Stegostoma tigrinum: one gene and its partners. The protein of the gene in region 1 binds, or shares a complex with, the protein of each later gene. Links are inferred from orthologs where the notes say so. Each region holds a gene or a part of one and is shown on either strand. Other genes may lie near its edges. The genes, in order: transmembrane protein 237-like, cep290, b9d1 and b9d2.

Evidence for each region.
Region 2: transmembrane protein 237-like (region 1) and cep290 share a complex: the UniProt entries of both Homo sapiens proteins name them as parts of the tectonic-like complex. The link is inferred for Stegostoma tigrinum from reciprocal best matches to the Homo sapiens genes TMEM237 and CEP290.
Region 3: transmembrane protein 237-like (region 1) and b9d1 share a complex: the UniProt entries of both Homo sapiens proteins name them as parts of the tectonic-like complex. The link is inferred for Stegostoma tigrinum from reciprocal best matches to the Homo sapiens genes TMEM237 and B9D1.
Region 4: transmembrane protein 237-like (region 1) and b9d2 share a complex: the UniProt entries of both Homo sapiens proteins name them as parts of the tectonic-like complex. The link is inferred for Stegostoma tigrinum from reciprocal best matches to the Homo sapiens genes TMEM237 and B9D2.

What each region holds. Positions count from the first base shown.
Region 1 is NC_081360.1:20,407,669-20,415,440, forward strand, and holds the start of transmembrane protein 237-like, read right to left. Parts: upstream 3,001-7,772; coding exon 2,944-3,000; intron 1,634-2,943; coding exon 1,548-1,633; intron 478-1,547; coding exon 464-477; intron 1-463. UniProt on the Homo sapiens protein: Component of the transition zone in primary cilia. Required for ciliogenesis.
Region 2 is NC_081371.1:48,912,509-48,920,149, reverse strand, and holds the start of cep290 (centrosomal protein of 290 kDa), read left to right. Parts: upstream 1-4,631; 5' UTR 4,632-4,784; intron 4,785-7,641. UniProt on the Homo sapiens protein: Involved in early and late steps in cilia formation. Its association with CCP110 is required for inhibition of primary cilia formation by CCP110.
Region 3 is NC_081376.1:40,138,513-40,145,922, forward strand, and holds the start of b9d1 (B9 domain-containing protein 1), read right to left. Parts: upstream 3,007-7,410; 5' UTR 2,935-3,006; coding exon 2,872-2,934; intron 2,862-2,871; exon of another isoform or gene 2,775-2,861; coding exon of another isoform or gene 2,727-2,774; intron 1,003-2,726; coding exon 934-1,002; intron 1-933. UniProt on the Homo sapiens protein: Component of the tectonic-like complex, a complex localized at the transition zone of primary cilia and acting as a barrier that prevents diffusion of transmembrane proteins between the cilia and plasma membranes.
Region 4 is NC_081392.1:8,436,672-8,444,070, reverse strand, and holds the start of b9d2 (B9 domain-containing protein 2), read right to left. Parts: upstream 3,009-7,399; 5' UTR 2,762-3,008; intron 1,545-2,761; exon of another isoform or gene 1,541-1,544; coding exon 1,453-1,540; intron 1-1,452. UniProt on the Homo sapiens protein: Component of the tectonic-like complex, a complex localized at the transition zone of primary cilia and acting as a barrier that prevents diffusion of transmembrane proteins between the cilia and plasma membranes.

The DNA of each region.
Region 1 (7,772 bases):
CATGTAATCAATGGTGGTGAAGTTGTCAGTGGCAAATCAGAATAAAAATCTGACGAGAAAAGCATATGCTGGACTCATCTACTATTTAAAATAAACAAATTAAACAAAATTAGTGTCAACAACCCTGAAGGCACACTAACTAAAGTAAAAACTCTGAAGGAAGCTTACTAAATTCAGATTAAAAGATCGTTTTGCAGGATAATGATGCCTCTCAATCTGGTCCCTGTCTAAACAGCGTTCAATATCTGGTGTTCAACAACCATGATTATTGCATGCAGTTCTGTTCTTAGCTGGTGCACAAATTATCTGCAACCATCTGCAGCAATAGCTGGACAGAAAACAGGTGCAGCAGTTCCTTTGTCCACCAGTTATTAAATAACCAATTCACTTAACAAGAACTGTCAATAAAATAACAAGTCATCACAGACATCTGTGGGAGGACTGGTTAAAATTAAAGGCTTACCTTTGACTTTGGTGCTTCAGGTCCATCAGCCAAGAGAAAGAAAATAAACAAGGTAAGCATACAGACACAGTGTAAAACATTAACTAAACGAAAAACCAACAAATGTCCTCCTTTATCAGAGAACACCTCAACTCACAGGTCTTGTCTATATTCATCAATATAACTTATTCAGAATATCACCATATCATTCCATCCCGTGTCCTTCCAGGTGCTCATCTAAATTCTCCTTGGCCCCTCCAGTTCAATGTTTCTCCCTATGTGTCATATACCACAACTGGATTAGGTACTGAGCAAACAGGGACTTTTGATTTTCCTTCTTACTCCTAAGTTCATCATTTTCTAACCATTCCCCTGGGATTTGAATCTTAACAGATGTAAACAACTGCACTCTATCAACTTTTTCAATTATCTTCACAATCTTGAAAACTTGAACCAGAGCATCTCAAAACATCACCTTTTGCTTCTCCCTTTGAAAGACAATAACCTCTTACTACAGCAAGTACTACACATCTCCAAATAGATCCAAGACAGCAATTCTCAGAGCAACAACATTATTTTCCTTGCATTTGAGCTACCTGCTAACGGAACCCGTAGCCTTTTCTTTCTTCTGCAACTAATAGGATGGTCAGACATAACTTCCATTTATCTCCAAAAGGAGGCTGAGTCATTATGCTGGAGTTATAATTTGTCATCAACAACAGCAAAATATTTCCCAGTGATTACAGTTTGGATTTCTGGCTTCTTGAATTCTCTGCCTGGAGAGAAATTCAACGCACATGCAGCAGGACCTGCAACACAGGCAGGATAAGGAGGCAGGTTGCAAATCTGCCTCAGTCAAAACAAGGATTAAACCCCATGCTGTTGGCATCAAGCACGCCGATCTGTCCTTTCCAAGGAGTGCACACTGGCGTGAGAACATGTATTTTTATGTATATGATGTAGTCTGGAGTTACAGACAATGACTACAGAGTCTCTATTTCTTTCCATCACACAGCTTTCGAGCAATACCATACAACCTTTGTGCTGTCTGTCAGAAGCATATATGGATTGATACGCAACCGATTTGGCCAAATTATAAAATTACCTTCTTTGGCCATTGAGTCCTGGAGTCTGATTTGAGCCTGGAGCTCCTGGCCCAAAGGCAGATATGTTGCCCACTGGACCACAAGTCTTCCATGAGTTACCACATACTGAAATTTTAAATTCCTTGCATCTTTCTCTTCTTCAATCCTGAAGCCTCTGATTCTTGTTGTGGTACAAGGAATCATGGTTACAGACTGGCCAATCTTGTCTCATCGAAGTGGTAATACAAGCTGGTGGCACAGTCAACTATCATACAGTCAACCTTACATAGCATCCAGCTGGGATTAACAGATGGACAGTTAGAAACAGGAATCATGAATCATGCTTGATTTCCCTGCTGCCACCAACACTAGGCAAAAATATTTATAACAACACCCTCCTGTTGCACATAATGGCAATGCTCCAGGTGATCCTGCAACTACCAGAAACTGAGGTTGTGATCTTCTACGTAACTCCACAGTCATATTTTTAAATTCATTTAACAGATCCAGGTTTTGCGGGCTGAATATTGGCCAAACCTAACTGCCCTTGAGAAAGTATGGTTGGCTGTCTTATTGAAACACTACTGTCCATGGTGTTTAGATGCTGCCAAACTATACTCGTGGATGTAAGTTCCAGGATTATAATAATGGTTTCCTCTCATCAAATTCCACCACTAGTATAAAGAATATTCAAGTTCAGTCACAGGAAAGAATTAATGTATTCAACTATCTTTGAGCAAAGGGAAAAGATACCAAATCACAAATGTAGAAAAAATACATTGTTGTATTTCATATCACAGAACTGAACTCCCAACCCATGACCCAACAGCCAGCCCACTTGTCCAGCTAGCCCACAATTATAACCTGCTTCCCGGCTCGCCAACACCCTGCTCATTATCCATTCACCCAACACCTGGCCCACTGCCCAGCTAGTCACCACCCAGCCTGCTACCCACCTAACACATAGCTCACAGCAAACTAAGACTCAGCCCACTCTTCAGCTAACTAACTTCAGCTAGCTTCCAACCTATGCAATACACAGTGCATTCCTAACCCACCTCACTATCTACCTAACCAATACCTATCATGTAGCAACACTACCCAATAGTTCAGCCATTTCAACTCAGCATCAGTACTTAACAGCCCTAATACTAAACACAGTCTCAGTCTCACAACCCAGCAGCCTGACCGCCAAGCCAATCCTACCAACGCACTCCAACAGCCCAGGACCAGCCATTGACATGCTACTCAGTGATCCTGTATTCTGTTCCACTGCCCAACCTCCACTAAAATTAGCCACCCACCACAGATCTAAAATTTACCAAAATATTTACCATCACAGTATCACATTTTTGTTACTCTCCAGTTGCAGAGGGCAGTGACACACAACTGTAGCTCCATTCTTAGCAGTCTTACCTTGGCACTGGTGGAAGTGCACGTGGTGGGCGCTGAAATAAAACCACAGAAAGTCATCGTCAATATCAAGGATGACACCATTACACAGTATGCATGCCACTGTCAATTCCTGACTCAAATCAACCATCTGAAGGCTGTCGGGGGCATTCTGTCACAGTTCCTGACACAATCATTATGACACCCCGAGGCCACAATCCAGGCTGATATTATCAAAGACGTGCTTTTCCAGATGTAACATGAAACTGCAGCTCTATTTGCCCTCAGAAGGGCATAAATGATCCTGTTTGAATAAAGGAGCCCTTTCTTGTTACAGCCAAAATTTATTATTGAAACAACAGGTCCATAAACAGTTTTTCTGATCGTATATTGCATTTTTTGTTTGTGGAATTTTAGTGAATATTACCCCATACTTGAAAAAGATAGTAGGTTGTTTATGAAAATTTTGAGGCCGTCTCAATAAAAGAAAGGAACTGTATAAATACAAACTTTCACTTTCTTCAAAATTGATTTGATAAAAGAAAACTGCTGATAAATTGGGCTGAGAGAGATAGAAGGGACTGCCGATGCTGTAGAATCTTGAGATAACAAGGTGTAGAACTGGATGATTACAGCAGGCCAAGCAGCATCAGAGGAGCAGGAAAGCTGACGTTTCGGGTCTGGGCCCTTCTTCAGAAAACAATGTGCTGGCAACAGTTCATTGAGAATAATGCAAGGGTAAGAGTGTGTTATTCACAATGAACTCTCTAAGTTCTGCTATAAACATCTCTCACGCCAGCACTCAAAATAAAAACAGAACAAAAAAATGAAATCCACACAAACCCTGTCAGCACGTGAATAAAGGTTAGTGTTTCTTGTACCATCAAGTGGGATTTACCGTGTCACAAATATGAAAATGATTTTCCCTTTCCAGATCAAACTTAAACTCTAGCTTCTCACCGCTTGCTTCTTCATGGTGTCTGTGATCTGCGAATCTCAGTAAATGGGTCAACAGTGACCTTACTTCAAACTAATCCAACATTAAATCCTTCACAAAGTGGATTAGCTCGTAGACTATCCATATGACAGCTGTGACGGGGGCAGGATTTGGAAATCTTGTCACCAAATGTAAAACACAACATGATGAATATTCTCCCTCTTAAAGCTGGCACTGTAGGGATGGCCCTTCACTGTCAGTGGAACAATAATGCTTGAAGAAAGTGAAGGGATTGGAGATTGCTTTCTAACCATTCTCCTGCCAGGCAAATAGAATCCCACCAAGGTCTTCATGACACTAAACTGAGCTGATTAATAAAACCAATTCTTAACTGATTCCAGTCTCTTCCACAATATACTAGAGCTACCATCATCATCTGACCTGTTGAAAATGTTAGGCTTTTTTCCTGGTAACTCAATTGGGATGACAAGATGTCATTTGCCAATATAGACCAAAACATTTCTTGTTCAAACCCCAGGTGATGACATTAGTCATCTCTCAGTCAGGACAGCAGCTGCTTACATTTGAGCTCCGAAACCTCGCCTTGTGATGAACTCAATGGCTTGGGGAGGCAGCAGGGTAATTAGCCAGGATTCCCCTGTCAATGTAAGGTAATGACTGCATTGGAATGTCTAGGAGAGCCAGTCAGGGCTCAACAGGTGATTCATGGCAGATGGAGACACAGAATGGCAAAGTGGCCAGTGCCAAGAGAGTGAAGATGAAACAGATCCTTCAGGAGGCATGTGGAGACAATGCAAGAATTCAAACATTATTCTGGCTGACTCAAGGCAGAGCAAGATTGTGATAAAAGCATTAAATTTGCTCACGAAATCCATAAATTCAAATTCTCATCACTCCAAAAGATGTTGTTTCCTAGACATTTTTCTATTCTCACTTTCAGTTGAGAATTCATTGGCTCAAATAATCCAATGGCCAGATAATCATTGATGCAGCTTGGACAGGAGTTGCATGTCATGATCATGCAGAATACCCAAGCAGCTGAATCAGTGGAAACTGTCCAGGAAATGGAATTTTTCAATACGCAATTCCCCTGTACTAGAAAACCTCAAAGAGTCCACTAATCGAAATTTCAATAAAAACCAAGAGAACTGTACATGCTGTAAATCAGAAACAAAAACAGAAATTGCTGGAAAAGCTCAGCAGGTCTAGCAGTATCTGTGGACGGAAATCAGAGTTAACATTTCGGGTTGAGTGACCCTTCCTCAGAACAATCTCACTTAAGCTGATAATTATCCAGGAAATGTTAAAAGATTAAAAACCTAATCCAACACCTGGATGAATATTAAGATGACTCCTCATTGACTTCCCAAACTACATCACCCTGGACTCCTGACAACCACAGCCTGACTCGATTAAATGCATTCTCCCCAACACTGCCATTCTGACCAAGCTCCGTAATCCTGAAAGATTTGAGATCGGAATTGCCAGCAAGAAATGTGGAGCTCAGTCCTAATGGAAGAAAGTAGGAACTGAGTGGCAATCTGACTGTAATTTGCACTCCTTGTTACATGTGGGTTGTATATCTTTCCTACCATTCATGTTAAGCTATCCAGTTCATCGATACAAAATAAAAACCGAAAGAACTGCAGATGCTGTAAATCAGGAACCAAAACAGAAGTTGCTGGAAAAGCTCAGCAGGTCTAGCAGCATCTGAAAAGAAAAAAAATCAGAGTTAAAGTCAACAGACCCAAAACGTTAACTCCAATATTTTTCTTCACAGATGCTGCCACACCTGCTGAGCTTTTCCAGCAACTTCTATTTTGGTTCATTGTTGTATTTAACGTCAAAAATAAACTCTAACTTCTGATTTATCAAAGTTCTGACATGAATCTTTCTGAAACAAATTATTAAACGTGCATAATCCTGCCCCCACTATCTTCTCCCTGTTTTCTTTTTAAAACATGTGGACGTTCACAACAGCGGTCAAGCGTCATAGTCTCAGAGCTTGATTATTCACAGAATTGTTATGATGCAGAAAGAGACCAATTTGCCCTCGAACTCTTCGAATAACATCACTCCCTTGTGCCAGTCTCATGATTTTTCACGATACACTTGCAAACTATTACTATTAAATAATCATCCAATGTCATCTTGAATGTCTCGTGAACCTGCCTCTGACAGACTTCTAGGTGGTACATTCCATACCCTAACTACTCGCTGCGAAAACAAGTATTTTTTTCCTCTCAACACTTAAATCTCTCGTTCACGTTCCTTTTACAGGCTTCTCCTTATCTACTCCATCCTGACCGCTCATGATTTTGAAACTTTCCATCGAATCTCCTCTCAGGCCTCTTCTTTCCGAGGGGAACAGTCCCCAACTTCTTCGAACTATCCTCAAAGTAAAGTTCCTCGTTCCTGGAACTATTCTTATATATCACTTCTGCACTCTCCCCTTAATACTTACTTAGTATTTCTCACGTTTGATGCAACAGCACCCCCTTCCCCTTTAGCAAGAAGCCATCAGCAAACTAGAGTGGGGGTCAGACCCCGGGGTACTGAGGCCAGTAGGCACCACAGTCCGCCCCCATGGCCATGTGGTGCCGGCTCGTGTGGGATGGGTGTGAGGATGGGAAGGTTCTGTGGAAGGTAGTGTGGGGGGGTTTATGGGAAGAAAAAATAAAAAACAATGGAAGCCACTACCCCCTGGAGACCCCAATAAACCTGAGAAAAACTATAAAAAAATGGAAAAAAATGGAGAAAAAATGGAGAGAGAGAGAAAACAAAATGAACAAAAATGGAGAGAGAGAGAAAAAAATGGAGAGAGAAAAAAATGGGAAAATAATGGAGAGAGAAAAAAATGGAGAGAGAGAGGAAAAAACATGGAAAAAACAATGGAGAGAGAGAGAGAAAAATAATGGAGAGAGAGAGAGAAAAAATGGAGAGAGACAAAAATGGAAAAAAGATGGAGAGAGAAAAAAATGGAGAGAGAAAAAAAATGGAGAGAGAAAAATGGAGAGAGAAAATATGGAGTGGAATAAAATGGAGAGGAAAAAAAATGGAGAGGAAAAAATGGAGAGGAACAAAATGGAGAGGAAAAAAAATGGAGAGGAAAAAAAAATGGAGAGAAAAAAATATGGAGAGAAAAAAAATGGAGGAGAGAAAAAATGGAGGAGAGAAAAACAATGGAGGAGAAAAAGAAAAAAATGGAGGAGAGAAAAAAATGGAGAAAAAGAAAAAAATGGAGGAGAAAAAAAATGGAGGAGAAAAAAATGGAGAGGAAAAAAAAATGGAGAGAGAGAGAAAAAAATGGAGAGAGAAGAGAAAAAAAATGGAGAGAGAGAGAAAAATGGAGAGAGAGAAAAAAAAAATGGAGAGAGAGAGAAAAAAAATGGAGAGAGAGAGAAAAAATGGAGAGAGAGAGAAAAAAATGGAGAGAGAGAGAAAAAAAATGGAGAGAGAGAGAAAAATGGAGAGATTAAAAACAAATGGAGAGAGAGAGAAAACATGAAGAGAGAGAAAAAATAAATGGAGAGAGAAAAAAAATAATGGAGAGAGAGAAAAAAAGAATGGAGAGAGAGAAAAAAAAATGGAGAGAGAGAGAAAAAAAAATGGAGAGAGAGAGAGAAAAAAAAATGGAGAGAGAGAGAGAAAAAAAATGGAGAGAGAGAGAAAAAATGGAGAGAGATAAAAAAAATGGAGAGAGAGAGAGAGAAAAAAATGGAGAGAGAAAAAAATGGAGAGAGTAAAAAATGGAGAGAGAGAGAGATAAAAAAATGGAGAGAGAAAAAAAAAATGGAGAGAGAAAAAAAATGGAGAGAGAGAGAGAAAAAAAATGGAGAGAGAGAGAAAAAAAAATGGAGAGAAGAGAGAGATAAAAAAATGGAGAGAGAAAAAA
Region 2 (7,641 bases), on another chromosome or scaffold:
GGCCCAGACCCTTCATCAGAAAAAAGTGTTATGTTCATCCACTCGCAATCTGTTTTACTTGCACCTCCTCCCTTTTTCTGCAGTATTAGAGACACAGTTTTCCAGTTCCTCAGTTCCATAGAAACAGTGTACTTGAAGCATAAAGTCTGTTCCTATCTACACAAATGCTACCGGATCAGTTGGGTTTCTCCACCACCGACTGTTTTGGCTTCTGATTTCCAGCATCTGCAACAATTAGCCTTTATCATCTGTCTCTCCCACTCACTTGGAGAGCCATTCACTCTGGAGACTCCCAGGTTGAGTCGTACCATCAGGACATCAAAGAAAATATACAACAAAGGGTTAAGGGGCACAAGGTAAAGAGTAAAGGGGAGTTAAGGGATAAAAAAGGAGTAAAGAGCAATGGGGGGGGTAAGGGGGGCTTTGAAATGAGTTGGTCGCCCAGCGGCTCCCCTCTCCCAATCTGTCCTTCCATTTGACAGGACCCGATACTAACCTGACCCCCACCCAAACGAACCCCCTCCCTTACCACTGCGGTGCTCCTCCCTGCTTCAAGACTCCACCCGCCGTTCTGCTAATTGCCAGCTCCTTTTAGCGACATCTCCTAGCAGCCACCCCTTTCCCTCCGACCCACCAACCAACCAACCAGACAGCATCCGCTTCCGGTCCGTTCTTAAACGGCCCTCCCCTCTCACTTCCGGTCCGTTCCCCTCCCCACACCCGGGGGCACAGCGGCTGCGGCCAGTGGGTCCGGGCTGCTGGTTGTTCCCCGCGTACCTTCTCTGGAGAAGGGTTTAGGCCCGAAACGTCAGCCTTCCTGCTCCTCTAATGCTGCTCGGCTCATCCAGCTCTACACCTTGTTATCCCATGCTCTCATGTGTTTGCACATTACCTCGACAAACAATCTTTACAGGAACAGCAAGTAGAAAAATAAAAAAAAACCGTTGATCTGAAATAGACTCCTGCTAATGGGAAATAAAAATGGAAAAATGCTTATATTTAGCATTTGGTATGCAACCTTGCAGAGTGGATCTTGCAACTGCTCCTGGGATTGCAGGCTTAGTTCAGGTTTATTTTACAGCTTTACAGTTATTATAGTCATCATATTTGGATGGATAGATGAATGTGAAAGGTTTGAAAGGATATGGGCATGGAGTAGGTAGGTAGGGGCTAGTTTAGTTTGGAATTATGTTTGTCATGGACTGGTTGGACTGAAGGGTCTGCTTCCGTGTTATGTGACTCTGACTATAATTACAAGGGAAAGCAAGACAATTGTTCAGATGTTTCTCCTCTGAAATAGAAACAAACTGCATATATCATGAGCTTTGGTTTGATTTGATTCATTATTGTCACATGCACATAGGTACAGTGAAAAATTTTGTTTTGTATGCTGTACAGGCAGATCATACCATAGTAAGTGCATGAGTGTAATAGAACAGAGCGAGGAATACAATTTGAAATTTCTGTTCATTCATGGCATGAGGGTATTGCTGGCAAGCCATGTGTTGCCCATCCCTAACTGCTCTTGACAAGGTGCAGTGAGCTACTTTCTTGAAATGCTCCAGTCCATGTGATGAAGGCAAACTCACATTGCTGTGAGGAGGTGTTGCATTTTGGTAAGGCATTCCAGGGCAGGACTTACATAGTTAATGTAGAGTACTAAGGAATGTTGCCATAGAGACGTGGAGTGGAATTGCAGGTAGACAGAGTGGTAAAAAAGGCGTTTGGCATGCTTGCTATCCCTGGTCAGAGTAGTGAGTATAGGAGTTGGGATGTCACGCTGCAGCGGTAAAGAACGTTGGTGAGACCATTTTTCGAGTACTGAGTACAATTCTGGTCACTCTTCTATCGGAAGGATGTTGTTAAACTTGAGAGGGTGCAGAAAAGATTCACAATAATGTTGCCAGGACTGGACGGTTTGAATTATTGGGAGAGACTCAAGATGCTGGGGCTTTTATCGCTGCAGCATTGGAGGCTGAGGCTGACCATTAGAGGTTTCTAAACTCATGAGGGGCACGGATACGGTGAATAGCCAAGGTCTTTTCCCTAGGGTGCGGGAGTCCAAAACTAGGGGGCATAGGTTTAAAGTGAGAGGGAAAAGATTTAAAAAAGATTAGAGGGGGAACTTTTTCATGTCAAGGGTGGTGCACATAAGAAATGAGCTGCTGGAGGAAGAAACATGTTAAAGGCATCTGGATGGGTATATAAATAGGAAGAGTTTATGGGAATTTGGGCCAAAAACTGGCAAGTGGGACTATGTCAAATTGGGAAGTACAGTCAGCACAGAAAAGTTGGACTGAAGGTTCTGATTCCATGTTGTATGACTCGATAAGTGAATTCCAGGATTTAGACCCGGTGATAAGGAAAGTTCAGGGATAGTCTTGATGTGTGTGACTTAGAAGGGCACTTGCAGGTGGTGGTTTTTTGATATAAATCTAGGCTGCACTCATCCTCCAACAGTAGCTGCTTCGATTGGTTGTATCCAGGTAATTCCACATGTTTAGATCGAGGAACATCTCCCAATTTAACTGCTACAAGATGATCTGCAATTGGAATATTCCAGTACTGACTGAATTACACTATCGAACATCTTCAAGTTTTAATCTCTAAAAATTGATTCTTGACATAAACATGACTTTCAAAGATATAGCAGGCATAGTATTAATTGGCTGAGTATTTTTAATAAAAATATCATTTTCATACTTTACTATTTATGCTGTTAGCTTAGACAATAGACAATAGGTGCTGGAGTAGGCCATTCGGCCCCTCGAGCTAGCACCACCATTCATTATGAACATGGCTGATCATCCACATCAGTATCCTGTTCCTGCCTTATCCCCATAACCCTTGATTCCACTATCTTTAAGAGCTCTATCTATCTCTTTCTTGAAAGTATCCAGAGAGTTGGCCTCCACTGCCTTCTGGGGCAGACCATTCCATATATCCACCACTCTCTGGGTGAAGAAGTTTTTCCTCAACTCTGTTCTAAATGGCCTACCCCTTATTTTTAAACTGTGTCCTCTGGTTCTGGACTCACCCATCAGTGGAACATGTTCCTGCCTCCAGAATGTCCAATCCCTTAATAATCTTATACGCCTCAATCAGATCCCCTCTCATCCTTCTAAACCAGTGTATACAAGCCCAGTCGCTCCAACCTTTCAACATATAATAGTCCCGCCATTCCGGGAATCGACCTTGTGAACGTACGCTGCACTCCCTCAATAGCAAGAATGTCCTTCCTCAAATTTGGAGACCAAAACTGCACACAATACTCCAGGTGCAGTCTCACCAGGGCCCTGTACAGCTGCAGAAGGACTTCTTTGCTCCTATACTCAATTCCTCTTGTTATGAAGGCCAGCATGCTATTAGCTTTCTTCACTGTCTGCTGTACCTGCATGCTTGCTTTCATTGACTGATGTACAAGAACACCTAGATCTCATTGTGCTTCCCCTTTACCTAACTTGACTCCATTGAGCTAGTAATCTGCCTTCCTGTTCTTGCCACCAAAGTGTATAACCGCACATTTATCCACATTAAACTGCATCTGCCATGCATCCGTCCACTCACCTAGCCTGTCCAAGTCACCCTGTATTCTCATAACATCCTCCTCACATTTCACACTGCCACCCAACTTTGTGTCATCAGCAAATTTGCTAATATCACTTTTAATGCCTTCGTCTATATCATTTATATATCGTAAACAGCTGCGGTCCCAGCACCGAACCTTGTGGTACCCCACTGGTCACTGCCTGCCATTCTGAATGGGACCCATTTGTCACTACTCTTTGCTTTCTGTCAGCCAGCCAATTTTCAATAGCTTCTGAGACTGAGGGCTATATTCAATTAGTAGAGGTACTGAAGGTGCTGAATATGGCAATAAACAGAAGAAAAGTTAGCAGTGTTTGGTCCAATTAGCCAGCATGTTTCAACAACAATTTTGTTTTGGTTATTTTGATGGACAGTCATCAGACTTTTGACACTGACTGATATTCAGACAAATAGCAGTGTTGAGCTAAAGATGATAGTAGGGCAGGAAACTAAAACTAGACAGAGAGGTGGATTTCAATGTTTGCCCTTAAGGATTACAGGTTACTGGTGAGTATTTGACAGGGAATTCCAGAGCTTTGGTGAAACCTAAATACTGTAGTTCCTGGAAATCTGAAATAAAATTGAATATGTGAAGAAAGTATTCATGCTTTGAAACCAAAGCTTCAGAACTTGAGCCTGTACTGTTACAAGTACCAAGCCACCAAGGCTGAGTCAATAATAATCGGGAACTTGCAATAAACCAAAAATGCAGAGATGGTGGAGGAGAAAGCAAGAATTGCAGATGCTGGAGTCAGAGACAACAAAGTTTGGAGGTGGAGGAACGCAGCAGGTCAGGCAGCATCAGAGCAGCAGGAAAGTTGACATTTCTTCCAAGTGTCCTGACCCGAAACTTCAACTTTCCTGCTCCTCCTGCTGCCTGGCCTGCTGTGTTCCTCCAGCTCCACACTGAGATCGTGGAGGGCTGTAGACAAACAACTCAAACGTTGCTGTGTTCTCCCTCTAACATCCTACCACCATTTAGTCGCTTATAGCATACACGACTGTATTCCATTAGTCACTGCCAGTGCCACCTGGAGAAGGGTCTTTCTGAACCAGGTGAGGGCAACCCGGAGGCAGAAATATCGCGAGAGTGGCTACCTCATGTCGTAAAGTGCCTTAACATCTGCCGTAGAGGCATGATGGTCGCCTAGCAGCAGCTTCCAACGGTCCCGCTGTCTCGGGCGCCCGGCAGAGAGGTAATGGAATCTCTAACTCTTTCTGTCTTGTTATTAATAAAATACCCTGAAAGCGGTTCAAGCTGGGCCGTGAGGCGCTGCCTGTAAGGACGGGACACTGACGTTAGCGAGTGGATATTACAATGCGCCCGGGGGACATGAGTGAATATATATCACACTCCCCGCCCCCGCCCCCCGGGGACGTGAGTGAATATATATCACACTCCCCGCCCCCGCCCCCCGGGGACGTGAGTGAATATATATCACACTGTCCCCCTCCCTCCCGGGGGACATGAGTGAATATATATCACACTCCCCGCCCCCGCCCCCCGGGGACGTGAGTGAATATATATCACACTGTCCCCCTCCCTCCCAGGGGACATGAGTGAATATATATATTACACTTCCCCCCCAGGGGACATGAGTGAATATATATATTACACTTCCCCCCCCCAGGGGACATGAGTGAATATATAATCACACTGCCACCTCCCCCACCCCGGGACGTGAGTGAATATATATCGCACTGTCCCCTCCCTCCCAGGGGACATGAGTGAATATATTATCACACTGCCCCTCAGGTCCCAGGGACATGAGTGAATATATATCATACTGTCCAACACCCCCACCTTGGGTGACATGAATGAATATATATCACACTGCCCCCTCCCCAGGGACATGAGTGAATATATAATCACACTGCCCATCTCCCCCTCCCCCTACCCCCAGAGGACACGAGTGAATATATAATCTCACTGCCTTCCCCCCCCCCGCCCAGTGATGTGTGCCAGTGTATGTTGTTACTGCCCCCCACCCCTACTGATGTGAGTGAGTGTATGTTCCAGTGCAACCGTCCTTTAGTGACATGTGCCAGTGTATATTGCCCTGCCCCCCCCACACCCCCGTGACATGAGCAAGTGTATATTAACACTCCCTGGCGTTCCATTCCTTCCCCCACTCCTGGGTGACATGAGTCAGCGTATATGATACTGGCCCCCTCCCCCAGTGACATGAGGAAGTGGATATTACATTGCCCTTCTCTCCTCCCACCCCTGTAATGTGAGCAAATGTATATTTCGCTCTGCCACCTCCCAAGGTGACGAGAGCAAGTGTACATTTTGCTGCCACTTCAGGGTGATATACTACACTGACCCTGCCCCCTGCCCCATGACATGAGCAAGTGTATATTTACACTCCTCGGCATTCCCTTTCTTCCCCCCCCCCGGTGAAATGAGTGAGTGCATATTACACTGGCCCCGTCCCCTAGTGACGTGAGCGAATATATATTACACTGCCTTCCCCTGGGTGACGTAACCGAGTGTGTATCACACTGCCCTACCCCAACCCAGGCTGATGTGAGCAAATGTATGTCACAATGCTTCCACCCCTTCCCCCAGGTGATGTGAGTGAATGTCTGTAACGCTGCCCCCGGGTGATGTGTGCAAGTGGACATTACACTGCTACTGATCCCAGCAAGTATCAGTTATACTGCCCTCTGGGTGACATGAGCACACGGATGTGTCACACTTTGCACACACCCAACCCCACCATCAGGGAAAGAAAATGTATGTTGGCAGCTCGGTTTGAGTTACATGGTTTTTTTTAATCACTTCTGTGTATTAAAATGTAGGGCAAGAGGCAAAGCATATCGACCACAGCAAAATGACTTATTTTCCCCATGACAATATTACAAATTTAATAAATATGCCCAAAATTTTTTTTAAAAGCTTCGGTGTTGATTTTACCACACTTATGTGGAAACCACATTCTCCGCAGATGGCTCAAATTTTCATGCAACACCAAGACCTGCAACATATAGCTGACAAAAATCAAACTGCCTTGTAGCCTCCAGAGCCAATCCATATTATTATAAGGAACAGTTTTTTCTGTGGCAGTATACTCCTTTACTGGCCTTTTGCCTTTCAGCATACATTACGACCTCACCAAGTCTCCTTGGCTTCTTCTAAATCTCACACCAACAGCCATGTAGAGGGACAAGGACAGCAGATACATAGGTGATGTGGTCTACCTACACTAAATGGACTGCAGTGGATCAAGAAGGCACCTCCTTCAAGGCATCTTTGAATGGGCAATAAATGCTGGCCCAGCCAACGTTGCCCTCGTCCCCTGAATGAATTTTGAAAAGCAGAGATAAGCCTAACCTCACCCAAAACGCTCTTGCCTGTGACCTAACTCTCACTGAGTCCCATTTATGTGTCACTCCTTGCTCGCTGACTTGTATTGGTCCCAATCGTGCCATACCTCTATTTTGAAATTTCCCATGTTCAGATCTCTCCATGGTCTTGGCCTTCACATCTCTATGACCTTCTCTTGTCCAACAAATCCCTGGATACTCTGCACTCCTCCAGATAGAACATTTTCATAAACATTGGAGACTGTGCCTTCAGCTACTTGGGCCTTAAGGTCTGGAATTTCCTCCCTGAAACTCTCCATCTCTCTCTTTTACTTCCAGACACTTGTTGAGACTGTTCTATTTGTGATCATCCATCCTAATAACTCTTTATGGCATTACATTTTGTCTAACAATGTTCCTCTGAAGCACGTTGTTGTGTGAATTTGATGAGTAAACTCAAGTTCTGATGAACATTCACAGGACTTGAAAGATTAACTCTGTTTTCACTCCACAGATGGTACCAGACCTGCTGAGTTTCTCTGGAAATTTGTGTTTTTGTTTCAGATCTTTGGCATCCACAATTTTTTATTTTATTTTGGTGAGATAAGCTGACTTGTTCCTCAGAAATTCATATCCTGAATTTTCTGTCCTGTGAATACCTTTCATATTTTCTGATAAATAGCTATTTAGTTTTCATGATTTGGGCCTCTTCAGTAATAATTTGTCCCATTTGCTGTTCAGTAG
Region 3 (7,410 bases), on another chromosome or scaffold:
GAGAAGAAAAATGTGTACTAAATATTAAAATACAATGTAGATGATATGCAAAGAGAGGTTTTTATTCCAATTCCAATCTTCACCTGTAAAATTAAGTTTCTTTCAGTCAGTGTCATTCTCATGGTAATAAAATTCTCAGGAAATTTTGGTGTACCACATAAATCTGTAGTTCTATTTGTTTCTTACAGACCAAAAGATGTGGCATGAAAATTTCATGTATTAACCCCTACACTTTACTGAGAGTCTAGTTACACCTGTAGAGTGTCAATTTATGATCTTTCTGAATGATAATTTGTCTACAATGCAAAAAGCTATCTCATTAGCTAAAAGACATAACAGACTTAGTTATTGTAAATGTCAGGAAAGTGTCCTAAACCATTCAATTATTTCAAAACAACATTTCTAAAATTTATTTTCTACAAAAGAACATTTTGTACACAACACAGTGTATAGAAACTGTTGAAAATCAACAAAAAGCACACTACTTCACAATCTTATTAACAATTTATTTAAATTAGATAGGCTAGGGGTGTAGTTTCTGGGGTTATTTATCTAGCAACAAAAAAACCTCAAGCAATTTATTTCATTTAGAAGTATTCTTACAATAAATATTTGGATTAACAAAAATAGCACAATCATTAAGGAGTTCAGTAGTTTATAATGACATCATTAAGAGTGCATCACCACTGAGGTGACATTTCATTTAAATTTATGATTTTAATTAGCTCCTATAACATAAGAATAGTGCTACAAGGCAGCTGTAATTCTGGAATGACTCAATATCCAAGGATATCCAAGAATTCAAATTATATTACATTGGAAAAGCACAGAATTCAGACTGTCATTGTAACTAAGCTTGTAGTCATTTATTAATTATTATAGGATTAAATGTTTATCCCACAATGAGCTGAACGAACTAACATCAACACTTACTGTTGTTGGAGCCCAGTCATGTCCATACACATAGGAGTATTTGCAATACAGCTCATCAAACTCTGGAAACTGGGGAAAAAATAATTTGAATTAAAATGAATAAAAATTGCAAAACTTTTCAAATGCTGATATGCTTGGTTTTAAAGTTTCACATTCAATATTGGTGAGATTAGTATGTTTTGAAATCAGAGACCCACAAAATATCTGCAATCAAATTAGTATTTTTATAACATCAGTTAACAGCATGCAGGAATTTGAGTCTTTATCTCATGAAGGCTTTAACAGAATCAAAATTTTCAACCAGGAGAAAGTTACAAAACTGCAACATACAGATAGAAATACAAATTTTGTTAGAAGTCTGGCATTGCGACTTATTCACTGTCATATAATGAGACAATAATTAGAAATAACTTTCTCCTGGGTTGAAACAACAGTTTATATCTGAAGGGCTGAATATTATTTGGAGAATAAACAGTTTTGTTGCAATCTGGCTACTACAATTTCAGTGCAGTCAGTCAATGTTTGAGGGATCAAAACATCCTTACAACAGGGGTCAACTTAAACATATAAATTAAGCATATGGGTTAGTGCAGGAAGGCACATTTCTGTTGGTCTGTTGCCACATGAGGTCTGTGTTAGAGTGTCTTAAACTCCCATGCACATTCATGGTAACACACTCCATTTTGCCTGCTTGGTCCTATACTTTGATGTTTCGGCTGGTAGAACCTTAATTTGTATTTCTGAGCTGAAAACTGAGCCTTGCTCCTAATGCAAAACAAAGTACTAAACATGCACTTATTAGCTAAAAAAAAAATGGCAAATATAGGTCTGAACTTAAACTTTGACTCAAAAGAGTTGACTTCAAGGCCATTTTGTTACAGTACTAATCTTTTCTAGGGTTCACCTTCATATCAACATTATAACTGTTCTTCCTAGAGTCTGTTTTGACAGCAGCACAGTCATTGGAGTGAGACCATATTAAAAACTCCGAATGTTATCACCCTCTTCTCTAATCTATAATTGGTAATGCATTCTTTGAATAAACTGGAAAGCTCTCCCAAAATGTTTTAATTCAAATTCAGTGAATGTTCATTTTTTATAAGGAGGTATTAAGGCAGGTGAACAAAAGTTTACTCAACAGGCAAGTTTAAAAGAAGGAACTGCAGAATGGGGAGGGGGAGCGGGGGCAGTGAGGAAATCTTTCAGGGTTAAGGACTTACACAGTGGAATACGTGACCACAGTGATGATGTTATTAAAATAAGACAAGCTCAAGACCCCAGAATGAAAGCAGAGTTCCTATAAGACGAGCTGGAAGAAATTATTTAAATAGGAGAAAAACCCAATATGGAGGGATTTGAAAACAAGGAGATGTTGATTAAGTGGGATAAAAACAGAAAATTCTGAATATACTCAGCACGTCTGGTAGCCTCGGGGGAAGAGAAAAACTCCAGCATTTGCATTATTTTTCGTTTCTTCGATGGTTTAACTGGAACCAAGTCTGCAAGAGAGGGTGATGGCGAAGTGCGGACCATCTGTTTGCGAATGTGTTGATCAGGAAATGCGGCAGTTAAGATGTTATTCCGACTACCAAAAATGATCCCTTGGCAGATACACCAGATACCCACACTAAATGTTTCTCCCTTAGTCTAAGGGAGGCGTTCAGAACTTGAGCTCTGCATTGCATGTACTATAATAGCTGGTTTACAAAGTAACGAACGGATATTCTTTGAAATTGGTAACTAATAAAGGATACTCTTTGCAACTCGCCACAAGGATTCTAAAGCGCACTTACTATGGGTTGGTTGCCGAGGGGATTGCCGCCAGCAGGCCCGGGACACATTCACATCCAGACTGAGTTTCAGGATAGAAACTGGATCATACAGGCGAAACACTCAGGGCATAACATCCCTCTTACATTGAATAAAAGCAATGCTTACATCAGCGCTTTCGATCTGCCCGTTGACCATTAAAAGGAACACAGACGGTTTTCCGGACAGCATGTTTCTCAATCTTACGTGTTTATCCCACCGACTCCCAGCCTCACCATCTCCAGGACGACGCCCGTCACTGTCTTTGCGCCTGCGCGGCATGTGATTGGCAGCAGCTGAATTCCAGCCCCAATGCCGGAACCTCTAACTCATTTTTCCGAACGTGCATGCTGCAAATCTGGAGCAGTCAAAAAAATTAAGGTCAATCATTCTTAAAACCCTAACCCTATCATATTTGCTAAATTCTTAAATGTGAAAAATGAACTATCACCTTTTTAGACCGTTGTGCTAACGAAGACAGCTGCTCTGTTGAAACAAGTACTTGGTTCCTTGCAGTGTACAGGATTGAAATGCTGCTCTTGAGTTTCTGTTTTCATCGTCATCGAGCAATAAAGGCAAAGTTGTCTTGTAAATTTGTCCAGTGTGTTGTTTTGCTTTATGCGCATCCATTAAAGGTTAATGAATAAGCTCAACTAGATTGTACCACAAATTCTTGTTTTCAGTATTTGTTTCTTCTGACAAATGTTTCTAAGGTTGGTCATCCAATAGCTCTTCAGTCATTATAGAAATTTTTAAAATCCCCACAACCCATGTAAAGACAGTGGCTTCCTTCCTGTTGACAGTATGAAAAAACCTCCTATGTCAACATCTGTGATCTCAATGGATTCTTTGTCCTTTTGAATTCCATCATGAATTTAGAGTTCTTCAACAAGGTTGTTTTTCTACAGTTGTTCTTTTGGAATTAGTTGAAGTCCTTCAGTTACTGCAAGGATGTTCAGATTAAGATACTGTAATGACTTAAAAGTGAGGCTTGTGAATAACATAAATATTTTCAATTATCATATGCTTCTTTATGCAGTGTTACTTCTAGAATACCTTCATGCTTTACAGTTATTTCACTTGCATCATGTAGTTTCATCTCAGTATCTGTACCTGCTGTTTCTTCAGCAATAATATGAGTGACAGTCACACCTTTATAAACTTTAAAATTGATGGATATCCATGAACATGCAGCATGCCAATGTGGGTCAGTTGAATCACCAATTTCACATAGGAATGCATCTCTTCTAATCAATCAGGTACATTGTCAAACAAGAGTATCATTTTGAAAAAGGAGGTTCTAAAATATGAAGCTGTTTGTGCGAGTAAGCATTGGCTTTTTGCTGCTTTCCAACTGTATCCTACTTCTGCACATTTTCTGGAAGCAATTAACAGTTTTACAAATGTAGCATTCTTTCATTTTAGCTAGACACGCTCATGAGGTTTTTTGTTCCACCATACAGATAGTGACTCACAGTATTTGCTGTTAGTGTACATTTTGTGTTTATTTGTCACGTCTGTCTGTAGAGTGTTCATACTTCTTAAATTAGACTTTGTTGGTCTCCGATGGCAAGGTTTTCCTGTTCTCTTATATTATATCAATAAACCCTTCCTGATTTCTGCTTCCAACACAATTTGAATAGCTTTATTCACAGTCAAATCTTCTTTCGATTATAATAAATCTGACAAAGACTCATCAATAATTCCAACAACAATTCTGTTTCTTATGAATTCAGATTTCAATGCTCCGCAGCCAGTTTTCCACTAATCTATAGAGATCATAATAAAATTGTTAACGGATTCTCCTGCATGCTGAACCTTTTTGTCAAACATTGGAATTTGTTCTCAGATTAAAGTAATTATAGGTATTAAAGGCATTAGAACTTCTCAACGGTATCTGTCCCTTAAATTAGATTTGATTATTTTTAACATCATCAGCTGTTGGGCCTTCTGAATAGAATAGTGTACTTGTTCGTTCAGCTTGAGATCTGTTATTTAATTTTGAAGCAATCGTGTATCTTAAGAACTGTGTTCGCCAAGATTCTGAATCCCGTCATCCTTGTTTTGCCCATCTTGTCTGAACAATAAGATATAGTTAATTGCATGATACCATTAGTGTAATTTATCTTGATTTGGTAAGCATAATTACAAAGGCTTTCAGGAGCTGCAGGTGGCACAGCAGTCTAAATAGGGACCTCGTAAATTGCCTATTCTCTATTCAGACTGTGTGATATCGTCAGATTGGGATGAACCTCATCAATAAATCTTTCAAAACCACTATCTTGTACAACAAAAGAAACATTCAACCCAGCCATTAAAATTTGAACTAAACAGCCAAAATATTGAATGTGACTAAGGGAAGCATGTGTATGAATGTATTGGATAAATTGTAATTTGATGACTGGATGCTGTGTGTTTAAGGGTAGCATTATAATTCCAAAACTAATGCTGAGATGGGCCTTAAGGTTGAATCATTGACTGACTTAATCAATATCACTATAGCAGATTTGCTGGTCATTATGACATTGGTCACATTTTGGGAGTTAATTGGGTACAAACTGAGTGCTACATTTTCCTTATTGCAACAGTGAATGCACTGGAGTGGTTATAGCATTTTGGGACATCCTATGGATGGGGAGGGCAGTGGACAGTAACACACTTTTTTTTCCATTAGTTATAGAGTCATAGACTCGCACAACACTGAAACAGACCCTTCTGCCCAACCAATCTGCACTGACCAGGCATCTGAACCTGACCTAGTACCATTTGTCAGCATTTGGCCCACATCTCTCTAAACCCTTACTATTCATATACCCAGATAGAGCCTAGACAGAGAGAAGAACAACTGGGCAGACAAAGGAGTGTAAAACAATCAACCTAGGAAACTGAATAGCTACTACTGGGGACTATTATTATTTGATATCTAATAAAGGTGTAGGCTGTTTCTTTAAGCTTGCCTTCAAAGTTTGGAGTGCTCTTTTTGCTAGACCATTGGATCATGGATGGTATGAAGCTGTCCTTATATGTTGAATGCTAGTCAACTTGAGGACATACTCAATACCTGCTGGTAAACAATGGTCAGTTTTCTGTGGCCAATGCTTCTGGCAGTCCATGTATTGCAAAAGATGTGCGCAGTTTTTTTTATCATCATCCCCATGTTTAATTAACTAACTCTATGCACATTTGAGTGGGCATCCAAAATGACTGAGAACATTGAGCCCATGGAAAGACTTGCATAGTCAACAGAAATCAAGTCCAGGGCTTACCCAGCCATTACCATGAATGTTTGAGAGGTGTTGGTGGTAGTTTTTGTCCTTGTGGCACTCTAGGTACTACCCAACCAATGCAGCTATATTTGCCTTAAATCCTGGCCACCAGATATAACTCCTCACCCACATTTTCATTTTGGAAACCCCTGAATGACACTAGTGGAGTTCAGCCAGTATCTGATGGCAACCTTTGCTCAGGACAATCATTCTTGCTCCTCATAATAATATGTGTCATCTCCTGTGATCTGGTCTCTCCAAGTCCAAAAAGATTTCAATACTGGTTGTAATGGACCTTTGGCTTCCCCCATCAGTACTAGCTGTTTCAGTTTTGTCAGGACCAGATTTGTTTTGTGTCCCAAGTCTGATATTGTCAGCTGTGACTGGAAGCGTGTCCAAAATATTTAAAACCATTACAGATTGTTCCAGTGATGGCACCACTGGTGGTGTATCTGCCAGCAGGAGGCGGCTCAATGCATCCGCACTTGTTACATGACATCCCAGACAGTATTCCAAGTTGTAATCATACAGACTCATTTTTAAAGTCCACCACTAAATTGAGTCTGAAGCTATGGGCAGCACTGTCTTGTACTCTATATGTAAACCTAGTGGGAGTTTGTAGTCTGTTATTATTACAAATTTATGTTCGTAAAGGTATTAATAGAACTTCCTGACTCCACACATGACCACCAAACCTTCTTTCCCTATCTGGGCATACTTACAGTCTGCATTAACCGAGTTCCTGCATGCATACGCTATTGGGCATTCCTCTCCATCATTTCACGCACGAACTAATTCTACCCTGATGCCATATACAGGGAGGCATCACATGTCAATACCAGATCTCATTTGGGATCCTAGTGTGCCAACAACATAAAGGATGACAGCTATTTCTTCACTTTCCTGAAAGCCAAGTCTTGGCTACATCACCATTTGCAAGGCTGACTCTTGTCAGAGTGTTTTTTTCTTTATTCATTCACGGGATGAGGACATCATTGGCTAGTCAGCATTTATTGCCCATCCTTAATTGCTCAGACGGCAGTTACAATTCAACCACATTGCTGTGGGGTATACAAAGTATAGAGCTGGATGAACACAGCAGGCCAAGCAGCATCAGAGGAGCAGAAAGGCTGATGCTTCATGCCTAGACCCTTCTTCAGAAATTTCTGAAGAAGGGCCTAGGCCTGAAACGTCAGCGTTCCTGCTCCTCTGATGCTGCTTGGCCTGCTGTGTTCATCCAGCTCTACACCTGGTATATCTTGGAATCTCCAGCATTTACAGTTCCTACTATCTCTGACACATTGCTGTGGGTCTGGAGTCACATGCAAGCCAGACCAGGTAGGGATGGTAGTTTCCTTCCCTAAACAGTATCAGTGAACCAGATGCATTTTTTTGACAACCG
Region 4 (7,399 bases), on another chromosome or scaffold:
GGTGGCCAAATGATACAACAGTAACAGAATTGTAGACTAATCTTTCCAGTTGATCATGATGAATTAGTTTAGCAAGCACCTGACATGACAAGGAAAAACTGAGATGGTTCCACTCAAGCAAGCTTACCATATTTAAAGATAACACAGTGTGGAGCTGGAGGAACACAGCAGGCCAGGCAGCATCAGAACAGCAGGACAGCTGACATTTTGGGTTGGGATCCTTCTTCAAATCTGAAGAAGGATTCCAATCCAAAACGTCAGTTCTCCTGCTCCCCTGATGCTGCCTGGCCTGCTGGGTTCCTCCAGCTCCACACTGTGTTATCTCAGACTCCAGCAATGGCAGTTCTTACTATCTCTCACCATATTTAAAGTTTTGGCAAATATCTGTAGCTTGGGTTGTGGATGAGGTTGTTGACTTGCTCACTGAGCTGACTTGTTTTTGTTCATACTTTTTGTCACGATGAGCAACGGACCAGACAGTTTAAATTCCAAGTGGAGTAGAATAACATCGCTTCATCGGTGACTCCACTGATGATGTCACCTAGCATGGTGACAAAACGTCTGAACAAAAAGAAGTCAGCTCAAGTTGGCTTGGTGAGCAAGTCAACAATCTCAAGCTTACCACATCTCTCAAAAGTACTCCTATAACCTAATACAGAACATTATTTTCTCAAAGACATTTTTCTAATTTACACATGGACATCACAAGGCTATGAAAGACAATTTAATGAAGATAAAATATGTTTCTGAGATGTGTTGATTGGAAATTTAAAAAAAAAATCTGCTTGTGGAAAATTTAAACAGACTAGAGCTAATAAATCTGGAAATATAAAGCTAGTGTCAAAAACAGTGACCATGACTACTATTATGCATGGTCATACAAGCCCAGTGATTCTCTATAATGTCCCTTATTGAACAGAATCCTTACTTGGTCTGAACTATAAACCATTTTAAGTCCACGTCTCTAACAGGAATCAAGCAGAGCAGATGCCAGCACCCCTGCTGTACTACCAGGAAATGCAGTTTAGCAGGGAGGTGCTAACAACAGTAATGTTGTAACTTGCGATCCAAAGTATCCCCATACACACTTTGGGGACGTGGTTTCGATCCCATCACAGCAGCTGGTGGAATTTAAATTCCATTAATAAATTTGGACAGTAAATCTAAATAACCCATGATGGTGATTATGAAACTATCATTTTTTGGGGAAGAAAATCTGTTATCCTTACCCATCTGGCCTACATGTGTTTCCAGACCGACAACAACATATTTAACTCTTAACAGCCTTGCAAAATGGTCCGAGCAAGCCCCTCAGTCAAGGGCAATTGGGGATGGGAAACTAATTCTGGCCTTGGCAGATAAACGTAGAAGAAATTAAATGTGGCACATGATACTCATGTTTCTCAACATCCTCCATTCCTCTCCCAACACACACATCAGCAAGAGTCTCACCTGTCTGCAGCCCCCATTTACAGAACAGGCTGTTATGCGGGAAACCACTTGCTCCAACAATCTGTCCGATAATATGCAGCTCAGCCATCTTCCTGCAAAAAAAGAATATTAGGCTATGTACAAACTGCACCCTCAGCCAAACAGAGAGCAATCACACTCCCTGGTATCAAACATTACTTCCATTCTTCTGGCTAAACAGATTTCAGGTCAAGCACCCAACGAACCAGGGAAACATACCCACAGATAAAAATTGTCAAAAATGATTTTTAAAATTGCAAACTCTAAAAGGTATTGTTGAGGGTTAACTCAAATTCCTTCATTCCTTTCAATTCTTTCATTCCTACTCCAAGGTTTTCAGAGCAGGCAAAGCTCAGGAACTCTCAGTTCCTCAAACTACAAATATGCTTTATAAAGTATTTTGAATATGGTTGACATAGGAGGTCATTTGTGTCAGTGCCATCTCTTTCCAACAGCAACTTAGCATGTCCCATTCTCACATAGGCATACAAAGCTTTTCAAATAATTATCCAATTCCAAAGCCTTAAGTGAGTTTGCCTCCACGAAACCGTAGTGCATTCCCGACACTCAGCATGAAAAAAAAATTTTCCTTATGTTTCTTTTGATTCCTTGAAATGCCGGGAGTAGAGGCAATGCCATACAGCAAACTGATTTTTGTTTACAAGTGCTTCAGCACAAATAAGGTCAACAAAAACATAACAAGAGAGGAGTAGGCCATATGGCCTTTCAAACTTGCTCCATCATTCAATATGATCCTGGCCGATGATCCATCTCAGTCCCGTGTTCCTGCTTTCTCCTCATACCCTTTGATCCTTACAGCCCCAAGAACTACATGAAATAATCAATGCAATCAGTTCTTAGGATGGGCCACTCAACTCGAAACGTTAACTCTGGCTTCTCTCCACAGATGCAGCCAGATCTGCTGAGCTTGACAAGCAAATTCTACTTTTGTAATCAATACAATCCATTGTTTCAATGCTGTCCCTGACCTGGGAATGTTTGATTGACACAGTGTTGAGGCTTCAGTTTAATAAGTAAAGGCCGATTTACTCTGCGATTAACCCCAAACTGTTGCCCATATCGTTTTCTGATGGAGAGTAGTGAGTGAAGAAAAGAAACTCAGCAGGTCTCGAAGAATCGGTGGGCAGAGAAACAGTTAACATTTGAATCCAGTGATCTTGCTGGATGTTTTATATTAGCTGTTCTTGTTAATTTAGTTATTCTGGTTATTTTAAACAGACTCCTGCCAGATGTAGGCCCGGTCCTAACCATGATTGACATGCTGACCCACCAATCGGAACGTAGCCACTCGACGGATCAACCAATCAGCATCAAGAAGAGGGGCACTGCGTTTCGCGTGACATCCGTGAAATGTCCCCGTTCCCTTCGTCTTCCTTAATTCTTTATCTCTTGCCCGTAGTCTCGATCTATCTCTCTCTTTCGCTCTCTCCTCCTCTCCCAGTCTTCTTATTCGCTAACTATTTCTCCGCTACCGCCATCGATGCCTCAGCTCTTGGCAACCAAGTATTGTGCTCGCCTATTGGCTGGAACGCAACGGCATTCAGCCAATTGGATATGTATGGGGCGGGGCGAGGTCAAGCATCGGCTGAAAACCCACCCCCATTCCAGAGCTTTTCAACATTCCCCCTCCACCGCCCCCAAACCTCCTCTCACCCCCCAACGTACCCCCTCCACCGCCCCCAAACCTCCTCTCACCCCCCAACGTACCCCCTCCACCGCCCCCAAACCTCCTCTCACCCCCCAACGTACCCCCTCCACCGCCCCCAAACCTCCTCTCACCCCCCAACATTCACCCTCCACCGCCCCCACACCTCCCAACGTACCCCCTCCACCGCCCCCAAACCTCCTCTCACCCCCCAACATTCACCCTCCACCGCCCCCACACCTCCCAACGTACCCCCTCCACCGCCCCCAAACCTCCTCTCACCCCCCAACATTCACCCTCCACCGCCCCCACACCTCCCAACGTACCCCCTCCACCGCCCCCAAACCTCCTCTCACCCCCCAACATTCCCCCTCCACCGCCCCCACACCTCTCGCCACCCCCCAACATTCCCCCTCCACCACCCCCTCTCCTCACCCCCCAATACTCCCCCTCCACCGACCCCTCCTCTCACCCCCAACATTCCCCCTCCAATGCCCCCTCTCACCCCCCAACACTCCCCCTCCACCGACCTATCCTCTCACCCCCAACACTCCCCCTCCACCGTCCCCTCTCCTCTCACCCCCAAACATTTCCCCTCCAACGCCCCCTCTCCTCCTATCACCCCCCAACATCCCCCCTGCACTGACCTATCCTCTCACCCCCAACACTCCCCCTCAATCACCCCTGTCCTCTCTCATCCCAACACTCCCCATCCACCGCCCCCACACCTCCTCTCACTCCCCAACATAACCCCTCCACCGCCCCCGCTCACCCTCCGGCATTTCCCCTCCACCGCCCCCACACCTCCTCTCACCTCCCAACAGTCCCATTCCACTGCCCCACACTTCCTCTCAAACCCCAATACTCCCCCTCCACCACCCCCACTCCTCCTCTAACCCCCCAGCATTTCCGCTCCACTGCCCCACACCTCCTCTCAAACCCCAATACTCCCCATCCACTGCCCGCACACCTCCTCTCATTCCCCCACGACCACCCCCTCTCCTACTCTCACCCCCCAACACTCCGCCTCCACCGCCCCCTCTCCTCTCACCCCCCAACATTCCCCCTCCACCGCCCCCAAACCTCCTCACACCCCCCAACACTTCCCATCCACCGCCGCCACACCTCCTCTCACTCCCAACACTCACCCTCCACCGCCCCCACTCCTCTCACCCCCAACATGCCCCCTCTCCTCCTCAAAAACCCCAACATTCCCCCTCCACCGCCCCCACTCATCCTCTCACAGCCCAACATTCCCGTTCCACCTTTTGTCCTTCACTGCCCCCGCTCCTCCTGTCACACCCCAACATTCCTCCTCCACCTTTAATCCTTCACCACCCCCTCTCCTCTCAGACCCCAACATTCCCCCTCCACTCTTTATCCTTCACCGCCCCCACTCCTCCTCTCACACTCAAACATTCCCCCTCCACTCTTTATCCTTCACCGCCCCCACTCCTCCTCTCACACTCAAACATTCCCGCTCCAGCCTTTATCCTTCACCGCCCCCGCTCCTCCTCTCACACCCCAACATTCCCGCTCCACCCTTTATCCTTCACCACCCCCACTCCTCCTCTCACACCCCAACATTCCCGCTCCAGCCTTTATCCTTCAGCGCCCCTGCTCCTCCTCTCACACCCCAACATACCCCCTCCGCCTTTTAACCTTCACCGCCTCCGCTCCTCCTCTGTCACCCTAACATTCCCACTCCACCCTTTATCCTTCACGGCCCCCGCTCCTCCTCTCACACCCCAACAATCCCCCTTCATCCTCTGTGCTTCACTGCCTCTGCTCCTCCTCTCACACCCCAACATTCCCGCTCCACTCTTTATCCTTCAGCGCCCGCGCTCCTTCTCTCACACCCCAACATTCCCGCTCCACCTTTTATCCTTCACCATCCCCGCTCCTCCTCTCACAGCCCTACATTCCCCATCCACCACCCCCACTCCTCCTCTCGCATCCCGACATTCCTGCTCAACTCTTTATCCTTCACTGCCCCCACTCCTCCTCTCACACTCAAACATTCCCGCTCCAGCCTTTATCCTTCACCACCCCTGCTCCTCCTCTCACACCCCAACATTCCCCCTCCACCGCCCCCGCTCCTCCTCTCACACCCCAACATTCCCCCTCCACCGCCCCTGCTCCTCCTCTCACACCCCAACATTCCCCATCCACTGCCCCCGCTCCTCCTCTCTCACGCCAACATTCCCACTCCACCTTATATCCTTCACCGTCCCCGTTCCTCCTCTCACAGCCCAACATTCCCGCTCCACTCTTTATCCTTCAGCGCCCCCACACCTCCTCTCACACCCAAACATTCCCGCTCCACCCTTTATCCTTCACTGTCCCCGCTCCTCCTCTCACTCCCCAACATTCCCCTTTCCACCTTTTATCCTTCAGCGCCCCCACACCTACTCTCACACCCCAGCATTCCCGTTCCACCCTTTATCTTTCACCGGCCCCATTCCTCCTTTCACTCCAAACATTCCAGCACCCTTTATCCTTCACCGACCCGCTCCTCCTCTTACTCCCCAACATTCCCCTTTCCACCTTTTATCTTTCACCACCCCCGCTCCTTCTCTCACACAGCAACATTCCCACTCCACCTTTTATCCTTCACCATCCCCGCTCCTCCTCTCACAGCCCTACATTCCCCATCCACCACCCCCACTCCTCCTCTCGCACCCCAACATTCCTGCTCAACTCTTTATCCTTCACCACCCGGACTCCTCCTCTCGCACTCCAACATTCCTGCTCCACCCTTTATCCTTCAGCACCCCCACTCCTCCTCTCACACCCCAACATTCCTGCTCCACCCTGTATCCTTCAGCACCCCCACTCCTCCTCTCACACCCCAACATTCCTGCTCCACCCTTTATCCTTCAGCACCCCTGCTCCTCCTCTCTCACCACAACGTTCACTCTTCACCTTTTATCCTTCACCGCCCCCGCTGCTCCTCTCACTCCCCAACATTCCCCTTTCCACCTTTTATCCTTCAGCGCCCCCACACCTCCTCTCACACCCCAGCATTCCCGCTCCACCCTTTATCTTTCACCGGCCCCATTCCTCCTTTCACTCCAAACATTCCAGCACCCTTTATCCTTCACTGACCCGCTCCTCCTCTCACTCCCCAACAATCCCCTTTCCACCTTTTATCTTTCACCGCCCCCACTCCTTCTCTCACACCGCAACATTCCCGCTCCACCTTTTATCCTTCACCATCCCCGTTCCTCCTCTCACAGCCCTACATTCCCCATCCACCACCCCCACTCCTCCTCTCGCACCCCAACATTCCTGCTCAACTCTTTATCCTTCACTGCCCCCACACCTCCTCTCACACCCAACATTCCTGCTCAACTCTTTATCCTTCACCGCCCCCGCTCCTCCTCTCACACCCCAACATTCCCACTCCAGCCTTGATCCTTCACCGCCCTGCTCCTCCTCTGTCACCCCAACATTCCTGCTCCACCCTTTATCCTTCAGCACCCTCGCTCCTCCTCTCTCACCACAACGTTCACTCTTCACCTTTTATCCTTCACCACCCCCGCTGCTCCTCTCACACCCCAACATTCCCGCTCCATCCTTTATCCTTCACCGCCCCCGCTGCTCCTCTCACACCCAAACATCCCGCTCCACCCTTTATCCTTCACCGCCCCCGCTGCTCCTCTCACACCCAAACATTCCTGCTCCACCCTTTATCCTTCACTGCCCTCGCTCCTCCTCTCACACCCCAACATTCCCCCTCCACCTTTTATTGTTCACCACCCCCGCTCCTCCTTTCACACCCCAACATTCCCCCGCCACCCTTTATCCTTCACCGTCCCCGCTCCTCCTCTCACACCCCAATGTTCCCCCTTCCACTTTTTATTCCTCACCGCCCCCACTCCTCGTCTCACATCCCAACATCCCCTCTCCACCTCCCCCATTCTTCCTCCCTGTCTTTTGGGGTGGTTGGTTCTGCTGCCTTATAGTTCCACGGACGCGGGTTCAGTTCCCACCTTCAGGTGACTGTCTGGAGTTTACATACCCGCCCACTCCGTGTCTGTGTGTGTTTTTACTCAGTGTTCCAATTTCCTCCCACGGTCCAAACGTGCAGATTAGCTGGATTGGCCATAGTGTCCCAGGATGTGTAGGCTCAGCGATTAGCTGTTGTTAATGCAGGGTTATGGGAGAAGGGCTGCATCTGGGTGCTATGTTGTTTGGAGAGTCGATGCAGGCTGAACGACTTCTTTCTGCACTGTTGGGATTCTGTGATTCTCCTACATC